Callithrix jacchus: one gene and its partner. The protein of the gene in region 1 interacts with the protein of each later gene in a biochemical or structural test. Links are inferred from orthologs where the notes say so. Each region holds a gene or a part of one and is shown on either strand. Other genes may lie near its edges. The genes, in order: BCL2L2 and BIK.

Region 1 (7,906 bases):
CTTTTTCTTTCTGCCTTTCTTTCTGTTTCTCCCTTCCTTCTTTCCATCTTTTTCTTTTCTTTTCTTTCTTTTTCTTTCCTTCCTTTCTGTAACAGAGTCTCGCTCTGTTGTCAGGCTGTAGTGCAGTGGTGCCATTTCGCTCACTGCAGCCTCTGCCTCCCAGGTTCAAGTGATTCCCCTGCCTCAGCCTCCTGAGTAGCTGGGACTACAGGTGTGTGCCACCGTGCCCGGCTACTTTTTTTGTATTTTAGTAGAGACGGGGTTTCACCATGTTTGCCAGGATGGTCTCGATCTCCTGACCTCATGATCCGCCTGCCTTGGCCTCCCAAAGTGCTGGGATTACAGGTGTAAGCCACCACACCTGGCCAATTCCCTTCTAGTAATACATCTTCCCCTCTTCTGGGGCACAATATCATTTGGAGTTTCACTTTTTCCAAAACTCCATGGTCCTCTGTGTATAGGTTATTATTACTTAAAGAGAATTATAATGGGCGAATCTCACGTCATTACATACCAAATTAAAAAAAAATTCATTCTCAGAGGAAAACTTATCTGATATTCTCTATGCTTTAACAACAAGTAAGATATTAAAATAAGAGTATTTATTTAGTTTTTACTTTTTTTAAAAAAAGATTATTCATTACTGAAGATCACTTACTCAGTTATTTATTGAGCAGAGTGATAGGCAAAGGGAATACAAATATAAGATAGTTCCCTCTCTTTTACAGTTTATAGACTAATAGGGAAGGACCTTATTTTATAGGTCACCATTCAAAAAGCTTTTTTTTTTTTTGAGACAGTTTCACTGTGTCACCCAGACTGGAGTGCAGTGTCACCCAGACTGGAATGCAGTGGCATGATCTCAGCTCACTGTAACCTCTGCCTCCCAAGTTCAAGTGATTCTTGTGCCTCAGCCTGCTGAGTAGCTAGGATATAGGAACACACCACCATGCCCAGCTAATTTTTGTATTTTTAGTAGAGATGGGGTTTCTCCATGTTGGCCAGGCTGGTCATGAACTCCTAACCTCAGGTGATCCTCCTGCCTTGGCCTCCCAAAGTGCTGGGATTACAGGCATGAGCCACCATACCTGGCCCTCAAATAGCTTTTCAAATATGTTTGCTTTTTTTATTTTTATTTTTGAGACAGGGTCTCACTCTGTAACTGAGGCTGGAGTACCATGATCATAGCTCACTATAGCCTGCAACTTCTGGGTTCAAGTGATCCTCCTGTCTCAGCCTCTGGATTAGCTGGGACTATAGGTGCATGTCACCATAATCAGCTAAATGTATTTGATCTTTTCATAAGGTAATCATGTCTATTAGAAAAAGTTTGAAAGTTGCAGTGATTAAAAAAAAAATAAATATGGGCTGGGCACAGTATCTCATCCCTGTGATCCCAGCACTTTGGGAGGCTGAGTTTGGTGGATCACTTAAGCCTAAGGAGTTTGGGACCAGCCTAAGCAACACAGTGAGACAAAAAACAGAAAAAATTAGCTGGGCATGGTGGTCCATGCCTGTAGTCTCAGCCATTTTGGAGGCTGAGGAGGGAGGATTACTTGAGCTAGGAGGTTGAGGCTGCAGTCAGCTGTGATCATGCCACCGTACGCTAGCCTGGGCGACAGACACCCTGTCTCAAAAATAAGAGCAGCAAAATAAACAAGTAAATAAATGAATAGTGACTGTGGAAAACTTATAGAAAGAAAATGAATCATAATGCTATCACCCAGAGAGAACTACTATTTTGTCATACTTCTTTTCAGTATTTTTTTGTCTGCTTTTATGATCATACAATTTTGTATACTGCAATTCTGCTTACCATTATATTGCAAGCATTTTTCCTTGATGTTAAAATGTTTCAAAAGCATAGTGACTATATAAAATTACATCTACTTCTATACAATAATTTTAATGCCCAATTGGTCATTTGTCTGTATTTTTTCACTTTGATAAAAATATTTATTCTGATGGAGCATGATGGCTCACACCTGTAATCCTAGCACTTTGGAAGACCAAGGTGGGAGGATTACCTGAGCTCAGGAGTTCGAGACCACCCTGAGCAACATGGTAAACCCTATATCTACTAAAATACAAAAAATTAGCTGAGCATGGTGGTGGCACGCCTGTAGTCCCGGTTACTCAGGAGGCTGAGGCACAAGAATTGCTTGAGCCTCGGAGGTGGAGGTTGCAGTAAGCCGAGATTACACTTCCTCATTCCAGCTTGGGCTGTGGAGTAAGACTCAGTCTCAACAAAACAAATAAAAAATATTTATTCACAAATGTTTATTCACAAATTGGATTACATTTTTAGAGGAGATAAGAAAAAGAATCTTAACCTTTTTTTTTTTTTGAGAGAGAGTCTCACTCTGATGGCCCAGGCAGGAATGTAGTGGTGTGATCTCTGCTCACTGCAACCTCCACCTCCCAGGTTCAAGCATTTCCCCTGCCTCACCCTCCCGAGTAGCTGGGATTACAGGCGCTCACTACCACACCTAGCTAATTTTTGTATTTTTAGTAGATATGGGGTTTCACTGTTTTGGCTAGGCCTTGGGTGATCTGCCTGCCTTGGTTTCCCAAAGTGTTGTGATTACAGGTGTGAGCCATCTTTCCCAGCTTTTCTCTTTTTTTTTTTTCTTTCTTTTTTTTGAGACAGGGTCTCACTCTGTTGCCCAGGCTGGAGTGCAGTAGCATCCTTACGGCTCACTGCAGCCTCAGCCTCCCGAGTAGCTGGGAGTAGCAGGGACTGCAGGTGCACACCACCATGCCCATCTAATTTTTTTATTTTTAGTGGAGAAGGGGTTTTGCCATATTGCCCAGGTTGGTGTTGAATACCTGGGCTCAAGCAATCCAGCTCCCAAAGTGTTGGGATTACAGGTGTGAACCACTGCGCCTGGCCTTAAGAATCTCAACATTTTAAAAGCTTTTGGTACATATTGCCAAAGACTAGAAAGATTGTACTGGTTTTTGCTCTTTTCCTCCCATGCCTAAGTGTTTTTAAAAATCAGATATAGTTGTAATTATATTTTATGTACAATTTTACATTCTACTTCCTTGGCTTAACAAGATTATTTTTGCATGTTTGTCGCACTATGTAAACCTTTTAATAGACGCATAATAATATTTTATTGGATATAATTGTAGTTTGCTTAAACTTTTATCTATTGTTGGAATTTGTCTTTCCATTTTTCACACATAATTTTTTGTGCATTAAAGCAGGCCTTATCTGAACTTTGAAAGCTGGCTTTGAATTCCCTGCACACTGTTATATGCATTATATAATATATATTATGTATACTATATTATGTATAATATATATTATGTATATATTCTATATGTATAATTATATTACATATAATATATAATATATATAATATATATTATATAGAATATATATTATATGTAATATATATTATTATTTATATTTTTTCCTTTGTGACAGTGTCTTGCTGTTGCCCAGGAGATTCTCCTGTCTCAGCCTCCTGAGCAGCTGAGTTACAGGCATGTGCCACCACACCCAGCTAATTTTTGTATTTTTGGTAGAGATGGGATTTTGCCACGTTTGCCAGGCTGGTCTGAAACTCCTGGGCTCAGGTGATCCTCCTGCCTCAGCCTCCCAAAGTGCTGGGATGAGCTACCATGACATGAGCTACCACCGTGCCCAGCCAGCCTTGCACACTTCTAACTAGTCCAATGACTTAGACCTAAGTTTTTTCACTTCATTAAGCCTTTTTCTTTTTCCCTCAAAAAAGTTATGGATTTGGAAATATTTTCCTCACGGGGTTGTTGTGAGAGTCCAATGAGATCATATAATAAGGAGTGGTGCTTAACAAAAATAGGATTCAAACACATTTTTAAAAATCACATCTCCTTTTGTTGGCTTGATTAAATTGGGCACCAATAAGATAAACAAATCTTAATTAGGTTAAGATCAGTATAAAAGACCTTTCTTCCAGGGCATTCAATCATTTAGAGCTTGTCTTCGGTGCTCAACGTTAGTTATCCCAGATCACACTGAAGCTGAAGTGGCTGATGAAGTAATTTGCAGTGAAATTTTAAGCGACTGTGACTCTGCTCCAAGTTCCCCAGATCTCGAGGTAAGGAATTGTGAGAAAAAGTGGGGGTGAGGGGAATAGTTGGGTATAATTCACTTTTGATTTTTTTGTTTTGCTAATGAGGATCTTCTCTTGTCCAACTCTCTCCGCCAACCATATTTGTTTAACTTTTTGGTTGGGCTCATATGAATCTTTTGAACTGTTGGTTAGTATGCCCACAAAAATTTCTCTTGCAAACTTAGCACTGCCATTCCTTCCTTTTTAATAAATGTGTAGGATTGCTACCAAAATGTGGCAATCCTGCCTTCCAGGGCTAGGTCTCATTTTGAGTGCAGCGGTATAGTGGGAACCTGCCAGGAGAAATTCCTCTGGAATCTTGAGGGCTGAAATGAAGGGTGGCACCCAGATCTCCAATCAGTGCATCTTCAGTCAACAAACATTCAACAGGACATTATGTGGTAGGCATATTGCCAGGCCGTGGAGATGCAAATATAAATAAGATCCAGCCCTTCATCTGTAGGCGCTCACAACCTAGTTAGGAAACAGCACAAAACCATTAAGTGCACAGTGGAGGTAGGCCCACTTGTCCTGGGAAAGGAGTGGAAGCTGGGGTTTGAAGAGGGACTACGTGTTAGAGGCACAGACTGGGTGCCTGTACACCCAATGGAACGAGAAGGGTGTAAATTAATCACATGCTGGGGTGTCAAAGGCAGTGATTTACAGTTTTGAGACTTTACCTCACCAGCAAAAGGGGCCAGTCTGTTAGTGGTGCAGACTGGAGGGGAGACACTGGAAGCTGCCCATTCAAGAGAAGAAAATGGAACTAGGGAGCAGAAGGCCTACGCAAGAGGGCGGGAAAGACAGAACTCGTGTCAAGTAGCTCTGGACTGAGCAATCCTTCCTGCTTTCTGGTGTGGGAGAGCTAGTGGATGATGGTGCCAATAACCTGGATGGGGAAAGTAAGCTCCCTCCTGGAATGCTCCATTCACAACCTCCATTTTCAGCAATATCCCATCTACTGATTCTTCCTGGTCAGGATACAAGTTTCCTGAAGCGGCCGCTCTGTTTCAGGCCTCGTCCGCCCAACAGCTCACTAGCCAGCCAGCAGTAGTACCAAGATGGCGGCCCCCTGAGGACTGGCTAGTCATGTGACCTCGGGTTTCCCAAGTTTGAAGCCCAGCAGTCCGTTCGGGGGCAAGGTTCGCCTGTCACAAAATGAATGTCAGCCCTTCGAATCTCGCGAGCCAATCGGCATGTAAGACTGGGCCACGGCGGTGAAGCGATCGGAAGATTGGTCCTTTCCAGTCGCCTAGCTAGGGCCAATCACGGAGCGTCCTATACTTCGCGGGCCCGCCCATAGGCCGGGGAGAAGTAGGAATGTCGTCACAGCGTGGCGGTATTGTTACCTAAGGACTCGATAGGAGGTGGGACGCGTGTTGATTGACAGGCAGATTTCCCCTACTGGGATTTGAGAATTTGGCGCAGTACCCCCGCCTTAGAGGTGGGGTCTTATTTGATTGCCAAGTAATATTCCCCAATGGAGTACTAGCTCATGGTGACTGGCAGGCAGCTTGACTAATGAGTCCTCGGCGTGGCCGGCGCAGCTCTCCAATCGCCGGGCGGCGGGCCCCAGTCTGAGCGGCGATGGCGGCGGCGGCGGCGGCGGCAGCAGCAGCGGGGGCTGCGGGCGGTCGGGGCTCCGGGCCGGGGCGGCGGCGCCATCTTGTGCCCGGGGCCGGTGGGGAGGCCGGGGAGGGGGCCCCGGGGGGCGCAGGGGACTACGGGAACGGCCTGGAGTCTGAGGAACTGGAGCCTGAGGAGCTGCTGCTGGAGCCCGAGCCGGAGCCCGAGCCTGAAGAGGAGCCGCCCCGGCCCCGCGCCCCCCCGGGAGCTCCGGGCCCTGGGCCTGGTTCGGGAGCCCCCGGCAGTCAAGAGGAGGAGGAGGAGCCGGGACTGGTCGAGGGTGACCCGGGGGACGGCGCCATTGAGGACCCGGTGAGGGAAGGAGGGCGAGCGATCAGGCCGGCGGCTGACTGGCCGGGTCACGGGAGGCCCAGAGCTCGGGCGAGCGGGAGGCAGGCGGGGGGTGGGGTTGGGCGGGGAATAACGTGGCTGGGGCCCAGTCGGGCCGGGATGGGTCCGCGATCACTACAAGGGGCCCGACTGGCTTGATTCGGGCGTCACGGGAGCCAAGTGTTGTTCTAGAGAGGGTAGCTTGCTTTTCTTTTCATCATGACCCTCGCGTGGGGCGAGGGAAATGGCCGAGCATGGCTGAGGCCGCGCTCCGGCCGAGACCAGGGCAGAGCCCCTGCGTTGGTTCTTCTTAAGCTCTTCTCCATACCCTTTCCACTTGTATTAGGAGCTGGAAGCTATCAAAGCTCGAGTCAGGGAGATGGAGGAAGAAGCTGAGAAGCTAAAGGAACTACAGAACGAGGTAGAGAAGCAGATGAATATGAGTCCACCTCCAGGCAATGGTGAGTAACTGGCGGTTGCACGCAGAGCCCGGGTTCTCGGGTTGGAAGGGTTGTAGGGAGGATGGGGAATGTGGGGTTAGATACTTGGCATCCTGGAGCTGGTTGTCTGAGCTATTATGACTGTGCCGCGGTCATAGTCCGTTGTGTGTTCCTCTGACCTTTGTGAGGCAGAACCTATATTTTGGTGGTGGTAGCCTTGTGCCTGCCTCCCTTTGTCCTTGTTATAATTGTGCTGTTCTTTGTTCTTGGTCTACCTCTATCCTTCTTTTTAGAGGTTGCCAGCTCGCATTTGACCTTCAAATCTAATAGTTTTTCCTCCAATCGGAGACGTTTCAGTTAGGATTCTAAGAGAAAACAAGCTGGAGGGGTTTCCCCTTTAATCTAGAAATGTAGAGTCTCAGCCCACTTAATTTTGTTCACTCTTAAAAGCATTTCAATGTAAACCATTCATTGGGGACTTGATTGGAGGTAGGAGAGATTCCTATACTGTTTTAAGTGTGTATTAATTTATTCTTTAAGTTTGTCGAATATTTAGCGAGTACCTGCTTTGGATTAGGCACAATCCTATTCTAGGTTATGGGTACAGCAGTAAACAGAATAGACCAAAATCTTTGCTTTCACTGAACTTATGGGATATTGTTGGTGGTGGAAATGCATATATTGGTCAAGTAGAAAACAAATGTATATATTTTTTTTTTAATGTTTTTCCTCATAGCTGGCCCAGTGATCATGTCCATTGAGGAGAAGATGGAGGCTGATGCCCGTTCCATCTATGTTGGCAATGTATGTAACTAGGGCTCTCTCTGATTGGGGTTGGGGGGCAAGTTATTTTGGGAAGTTATTTAATAGTCCTGAAAGGAACATCTCTGGGATACGTGGTGGTTTTGGGTGTGAACGGAGTGTGGGAAGGAGGTTGAAGGTAATGGAGTGATCAGTAAACAGCAGAGGCTCTGGGTTTGGAACGAAAAGGGCCTAGTTCCCCAGATTACCAGATTTCGTGTGCCTTGGTGTATGTAGATGGTGCAGATCAAAGGCTAGGCAGGGTGCCTGTTGAGACAGGAATTTGTCTGGTGCCTGTGAAATGTCTCTCCTCTCCTCAGGTGGACTATGGTGCAACAGCAGAAGAGCTGGAAGCTCACTTTCATGGCTGTGGTTCAGTCAACCGTGTTACCATACTCTGTGACAAATTTAGTGGCCATCCCAAAGGGTAAGTAGAGGAAAGTAAGTTGAGGTAATTTAAATTATGGTGTAAAAATAGATATATGAATATGTTTTATATTGAGCAGTAAGTGATTTGCTGTTAACACAGGTAATCTTTGTTATTGAAGATAATGGCATTAATGTTGATATGTATCAGGAGTTGCACCTAAATGTCTTCTGAGG
Region 2 (7,277 bases), on another chromosome or scaffold:
TGTGCCATTACAGAAGACTGGACCAGGGTTTTTTTTTTGAGGCAGAGTTTTGCTCTCGTTGCCCAGGCTGGAGTGCAGTGGTGTCATCTTGGCTCACTGTGCCCGGCCTCCACCTCCCTGGTTCAAGCGATTCTCCTGCCTCAGTCTATCATGTAGCTGGGATTACAGGCATGCACTATCATGCCCAGCTAATCTTTTGTATTTTTAGTAGAGACAGGGTTTCTCCATGTTGGTCAGGCTGGTCTCAAACTCCAGACCAAAGGTGATCCACCTGCCTCCACCTCCCAAAGTGCTGGGATTACTGGTGGGAGCCATCGTGCCCAGCCTGGACTAGGGCTTTCTAGCTGGGCCAACTCAGCTGACCGTCCCTGTGGACCCAGGGTGGCCCCTGGCCCTCTTGGTTTGCCTGCCTGTGACACAGAAGTGTCAGATCCCACTCGCTTAGACTGGACTGAGTGAGTTCCTGAGAGTCTGAGGGTCCCTACGGGAGCTGGACCCCACCCCCACCATCCTGCAGCCTCAGCCCTTGAACGCCTGCTGAGGGCTGTGCACGATGCATCTCTACTTGCTTGGGCTTTTGAAGGACCTGGGAGGGGCCTGGGAGGTAGCTGGCATTTCCTCATCTCTGAGATGAGCCCTAGGCATGCTGTTGAGTACAGAGCTGTTCACCAAATGCAGGCTGCTCTGTTCAGAACCTGCCCTCCTGCCCACTCTGAGCCCTGCAGGTGCCCTCAAGGCTGTGGGTGTGGCGCTGCTTCTGCACACATTAGATTTGCATCCTAACCTCTTAGGGTAAAACAGGGCTTCCGACTGGCCACTGGTGTTTCCACTGGTGAGCGTGTAGGAGGCCAAGTGTGGGCTGCAGCCTGGGTGGGGACACAGGGCTAGGTGTGTCTTCCTTCACCAAAGAAGGGTTTTACCTACTCATTTGCAAGTTTGCTGGAAAAAGAAAGATAATAAAACCAGTCCAGTTTCCTGGATCTGCAGCTGCAGTGACCTCATGGTGGGTCCTCTGGGAATAGATTGCCTTCATGTCTTCAGTCAGCAAACGTTATGTCTGCTCTGCCAGGCCTTGGGCAGAGCAGCAGCTCCTCTCTCAGCGGTTAACTCTTGGGCCAGGTCATTTCATCCTCACAGCGGTCTTGTGCAATAGGTGTTACTAGTACCGCCATTCTAATTTTTTTTCTCTGAGGCAGAGTTTTGCCCTATAGCACAGGCCGAAGTGCAGGGGTGCGATCTGGGCTGACTGCAACCTCCGCCTCCCAGGTTCAAGCAATTCTCCGGACTCAGTCTCCCAAGTAGCTGGGATTACAGGCGAGTGCCACCATGCCTGTCTGATTTTGTATTTTTGGTGGAGACGGGGGTTTCACCGTGTTGGCCAGGCTGGTCTCAAACTCCTGACCTCAGGTGATCCACCTGCCTCCACCTCCCAAAGTGCTTTGGGAGATGTTGGGACAGGGGATCGAGGCAAGGCTCAGTGCAGCTCACAGTGAGTTGAGTCCACTGCGGCTCTCTCTTTGCAGGGCGTAGAGGTAGTCTGATTTCCACAGGGGCACAGAGCAGGAGAGGAGAAGGCCTTTTCTGCAGGGGTAGGGAATGCGGGAAAAGCGAACCAGGGCTGGAGCTGCTTTCTTAGGGAAATGGCTATTTGCATAGACACCCATGGCAGCCAGCAGTTCTGGACGAAGTCCTTTTTAATGCCACCTTGACACACATGCTGCTGGCAATCTACACAATGTTAAAACATCTTACCTGTGGAGTCAGGATCCAGCTGTGTCACCCAGGTTGGAATGCTATTACACGATCAGAGCTCACTGTGTAGCCTCCGCCTCCCAGGTTCAAGTGATTCTCTTGCCTCAGCCTCCCAAGTAGCTGAGACTATGGGCGTGTACCACGACAGCTGGCTTTTAATTTTATTTTGAGACGAAGTTTCGCTCTTGTGCCCAGGCTGGAGTGCAATGGCATGAGCTCACCACAACCTCCGCCTCCTGGGTTTAAGCGATTTTCTTGCCTCAGCCTTCTGAGTAGCTGGGATTAGAGGCAAGTACCATCATACCCGGCTAATTTTGTATTTTTATTTTACTCGACAGTCTTGCTGTGTCGCCGAGACTGGAGTGCAATGGCACAATCTCTGCTCACTGCAACCTCCTCCTCCTGGGTTCAAGTGATTCTCCTGCCCCAGCCTCCAGAGCAGCTGGGGTTACAGGCATGTGCCACCATGCCCAGCTGATTTTTTGTATTTTTAGTAGAGATGGGGTTTCACCATGTTGGTCAGGCTAATCTCGAACTCCTGACCTTGTGATCTGCCCACCTTGGCCTCCCAGGGTGCTGGGATTACAGGCATGAGCTACTGAGCCCATCTGAATTTTGTATTTTTAGTAGAGACAGAGTTTCTCCATGTTAGTCAGGCTGGTCTTGAACTCCCGACCTCAGGTGATCCACCTGTCTCGGCCTCCCAAAGTGCTGGGATTACAGGTGCGACCATGCCCAGCCCATCCTCTCCTTTTAATGCTGAGAGCAAGTTATGAGAACACACTTGTGCCTAGGCCTGTGAGAGGGCTGCCCTGTGGGTCCTGCCTGCCATCAGTCCTCCCTGGCTTGGGGAATAGGGAGATTTGGAGCTCTGTCTCTTCTTGGCTCAATCATGAACTTCTCCAAGCCTCAGTGTCCTGTTGGAACAAACAGTTCAGTGAGACAGTGGGAGGTCAGAGCGTTCTATCAGTAGGCATGGGGGATTAAAAATTCATAACACCCAGGGCGTTATAGTAAGAAAACAATGAGTTGAAGCACAAAAGTGATAATGGCTAGTGCCAGTTTCCTCCCAGTGTGCCAGGCTCTGTTCAGACTACTAAGGAGTTCCTTGTTTCATCTTTCCAATAGCCCAGGGAGGGGTACTCAGACCATCTAACCCATTTCACAGATGAAGAAGCGGACACACTGCTGCTAACTGCCAGAGCTGGGCTTTCAACTAGGCCATTAGATTCTCATCCCACAGTCAGCAGCATCATCATTTCCCAGATTTAAGGCTGTTCATGCTGTGGGGTACATTATGGTGAATCGGGTCCCTTCTGCCATCATCATGAAACATTTCTTGATGTGAGAATCTGCAGTGATCATAGTTAGAAAGGCCTTTGGTGTCAAAGAACAGAAAACTCAGTGAATGGTGATGAGGACAGATTTGGGTTCATTTTTCTTAAACACAGTTGGAGGAGGCAGCTCAGGGACACCCTCAGGCCTGGGCGCTCTCTGCCTACCTTCTCTGCTGTTCTTGGCCACCTGCTGCAGCTCCATCTTTGGAGGAAGGAGAGTTGAGCTGCCCTGGCTGTTTGCTCCCTGGCATCCAACCCCTGCCTCCAGCCTCTGAGCCCTCATTGACCAGAACTGGGTGACATGGCTGTCACCAGCTGCAAGAGATGCTGGGAACCTGGGGGAGAGGAGGGCCATGGCTGGCTTAGATGGATAAGGATGCAGGGCCACCCTGAAGAAAAGGGGGATTTGGGAGCTCACGAGTTTCGGAAAAACACTAGAAGAATTCGCGATGGTCTCTCTGGGAATAGGAGTTGTGATAACATCTTTCTCATTTTGCTTCTCTCTGCCTTAAGAGAAAGCAGACATCAAAGAACAGGTGTGGTCTTCTGCTAAGCGGTGCAGACTAGCCTGGCCAACATGGTGAAACTCCCTATCTACTAAAAATACAAAAAATTAGCTGGGCCTGGTTCCGTACGTCTGTAGTCCAAGCTGCTTGGGAGGCTGAGGCAGGAAAATTGCTTGAACCGAGGAGGCAGAGATTGCAGTGAGCCGAGATGGTGCCACTGTGCTCCAGCCTGGTGACAGCAAGAATCCATCTCAAAAAAAAAAAAAAAAGGAAGAAAGCAAGCAAGGGCCCTTATGAATCAAGTCCTGAGATGCTGGGTGACTTGCCCGGAGGCACACAGCCAGCGTGTAGCAGGATTCATGCCTGTGGGAGCTGGGGTTGGGGGATGTTGATGGTGTTAGCGATCAAGAGAGAGGGCGAGTAGGGCTATGCAATCCTGGAGGTCATCCTCTGAGTGAGCCCCAGATTGCTCAGTTCTGAGGGGTCCAGTGTACTCTTTTTGCCCCAGAGGAGAAATGTCTGAAGTAAGACCCCTCTCCAGTGACATCTTCATGGAGACCCTCCTGTGTGAGCAGTTCGTGGATCCCCTGACCATGGAGGTTGTTGGTGGGAGTGACCCTGAAGAGGACCTGGACCCTGTGGAGGACCCTTTGGAATGCATGGAGAACAGGTAGGTCCCTGTGGCCTGCCTTGGGCCCCAGCTCTGCCCCAGGCCTGGTATTGACTTCATGGGTGGGCTGGATGAGCAGACCTTCTAAGAGGGAGGGAGTGTCTGCAGATGCCTCCCAGGCAGGGCCCCCAAGGAACATGCCCTAGATGTGGGCATGGAGGCTTCTGCCCTGGGAGCAGCTTCACTTTGCTGCCCCCACCCCCACCCCACACCCCTGATAGATGGACAGATCCGTGGACAGCCAGCATGTTCACAGTGCCAAGACGGACCTGCAGTCACTTCCCCATGTTCCACCGCCCCACCACCAGCTCACAGACCCCTGGAGAGCCAGCATGTTGACAGTTCCAAGACGGACCTAGGGCCACTGGCTGTCCAAATGGCACTGTGCTGGGGCCTCGCTTGACAGGCCCTTTGCAACCTGCAGAGCACATCAAGGCCTCTCGAAGGTGGCTCTGTTGGCAGAAGGGGGACCAGATCCAGATCGAGAGGGTTTTTAGATAAAGCAAGAAAGAATTTGAGCCAGGCTCAGTGGCTCGCACCTGTAATCCCAGCACTTTGGAAGGCCGAGGCGGACAGATCCCCTGAGTTTGGGTTCAAGCAATTCTCCTGCCTCAGCCTCCTGAGTAGCTGGGACTACAGGCACACACCACACCCAGCTAATTTTGTATTTTTAGTAGAGACGGGGTTTTACCATGTTGGCCGGGCTGGTCTCAATCCGCCTGCCTCAGCCTCCTGTGGGATGACAGGCGTAGCCCCTGCACCCGGCCGTGTTTGTCTGTGTGGGAGCGGATGTGGTGAGGCAGAGGTGTGTGTGCCCCATTCTGAGAGGGGTGGTGCCAGCAGGGCCGGTTTCAGGATTGGGAACCGGGACACAGGTCTTATACAGCCTCACCTCCCACAAAGGAAGGTAAGTTGCAACCCACGTGGGAAGCCAGCACAGCCACTGTAGGGGGCACAGTGCTCCCCAGACCTGCCCCAGGATTCTCCAGGGAAGCTCAGAAACCCCTGAGTTCTGCATGTTCAGTCATCCCTGGGTGCCAGGGCAGGCTGCCTTGGGAGACTCACCTGTTCACTCAGTTGCCCCAGACACCAGTGCCCTCTCCCCTCCCCACCCAAGGTGGGGCTCAGCCTGTACCACAAGCCCTCTGCCCACTATGCTAATGGGTAGACATGGGGCACAAGAGGGCCTGGGACAGGCACCCACTCAGGCTGCTCCCTGCTGTCTCTGGCACCCCTGTGGCCAGCCCAGCAGGGATCATTTGAAATGGTTTGCACCTCTGGTATCTGGGTCCCATGGATGGGACTTCAAGGGTGTCTCTGAAGCCAAGTGGGAGCTGGAGGAGGGATGCAGGGAGGCCCACTCACCACCTGCCCCGAATCTGACACCATCTCTCTCTGGGCCACTCTTAGCCGCACACAGTCCATTGGCTGGGTGGGTCCAGGTGCGTTTGGCCTCCATGACACAGCCACACCCCTGATTCCTGTGTGTGCTCCCCGCAGTGACGCACTGGCCCTGCAGCTGGCCTGCATCGCGGACCAGATGGATGTGAGCCTCAGGGCCCGGAGGCTGGCCCAGCTCTACGAGGTGGCCATGTACAGGTAACCGGCCTGTGCCCTGCTGGGGCCTCTACACCTGGGGAGAGACTCTGGGTGGGGGGTGGATGCCCTAAATGCAGCACAGGGCCCTGAGGAAGTCCTGGTGGGGACATGCCCCTGACACTCTGGGGCTATACTGAAATCCTTTGCTACTGCCTGCACCTCCCTTGGGAGCCCCCAGCTCCCGGCCCTGGCCCCTGCCACCTGTCCTGGGTATTCCTGGGCAATAGATAAAGCAGAGCCCAGGGCTCTTTTCCCTCTCACCTTCTTATGAAGCCCAGATGGTCCATTTCCGCTATGGTCTTAAAAGGAGCTGCTACATGAGCTTGCATCCTAGACCCTGGGGGGCCGGGGCTCTCAGCTGGTCTCGGGGGTAGAATGGTGGGTAGTGACTTGCCAGGGCCCTGTAGAGTGGGGGTTTATTTTCCATGTGGCCAGCTCCGGAAGACAGGGCCAGTGGGCTGGCGGGCAGCTGGGGGAGGAAGCAGGAAATCGGTATGAATTTGACCACAAACAGCCCATGCAGAGCGGTCCCTGTGGGTGGAGGTGCCCAGGGAAAGGGCCCAGGTGGCTGTGGGGTGGAGGGTGCAGGTCCCCCGCTCCCTACATCTGTGATAATGTCATCTAAGTACAGGCTGTCGTTACCTGTTCCTGTGGTAACCCCTTTGCCCCCATCCCCTTTGTCTGTAGCCCGGGTCTCGCTTTCGTCCTCGACCGGACCGACATCGGGGATGTTCTTAGCGGTGTCGTGGATGTTTTCGCTAACTTCCAGGAGGACATAGTGAGGCTCTGGAGATCCCTGAGCTCCGGGTCCTGGGTAAGAGCCTTGAGATTTCTGTATCTGACTTGCGCTGTGGTCAGAGAGGGCTGTCAGAGCCGCTCCTTAGGGCGCCGCAGTCCCTTCTGCTCCCTGTCATCTTGTGTCCCATTTCCACATCTGCCTGGTCCCACGGGCTTTTGGGTTTGAGATTCCTGGTTGCGAGTGCACAAACCAGTGCAGGGTCCTCTTTCTTTCTCTGCCCTGAGAGCCCTCACCGACAGAGAGGACTTTCATCTCCTGGCCTGAGCAGGTGCCTCCCGGAGCAGCCTGGTCCCATGCTGCCTACTCCCCACCGCCCACCACCAGGGCAGCTGACTGCCCTCACCTGCGTCCACCAGGTGTCTTTGCCTGTGTCCTGTAGACTGGCAGCCCCAGGCCACACTGGCCTTTAGGGCGATATCCTCAGAGCCACTTTCCCCGTCTCCTGAACTCCTTCTCTGAACCCCTCCAGCTCCTTCCCAGTCCCCACCTGCCTGGGCTTCCCCTTGGCACTCCTCTGTCGCCCGTTGGGCCTCATTGCTGGGGCCTGCTCTGAGCCCTGACTCTTCCGCTTTGCTCCCGCAGGTGTCCCGCAAACAGGCAGTGCTGCTGGCACT

What was found.
Region 2: the proteins of BCL2L2 (region 1) and BIK interact in a biophysical measurement, tested with the Homo sapiens proteins (2 studies listed by BioGRID and IntAct, with this or other methods). The link is inferred for Callithrix jacchus from reciprocal best matches to the Homo sapiens genes BCL2L2 and BIK.

Annotation. Positions count from the first base shown.
Region 1 is NC_133509.1:57,659,111-57,667,016, forward strand, and holds the end of BCL2L2 (bcl-2-like protein 2), read left to right. Parts: intron 1-3,950; coding exon 3,951-4,091; intron 4,092-5,120; coding exon 5,121-5,201; 3' UTR 5,202-5,329; downstream 5,330-7,906. Other genes in the region: PABPN1 (polyadenylate-binding protein 2), read left to right, coding at 5,694-6,044, 6,409-6,523, 7,239-7,306, 7,624-7,730. UniProt on the Homo sapiens protein: Promotes cell survival. Blocks dexamethasone-induced apoptosis. Mediates survival of postmitotic Sertoli cells by suppressing death-promoting activity of BAX.
Region 2 is NC_133502.1:188,642,847-188,650,123, reverse strand, and holds part of BIK (bcl-2-interacting killer), read left to right. Parts: intron 1-4,103; 5' UTR 4,104-4,110; coding exon 4,111-4,265; intron 4,266-5,765; coding exon 5,766-5,864; intron 5,865-6,551; coding exon 6,552-6,678; intron 6,679-7,245; coding exon 7,246-7,277.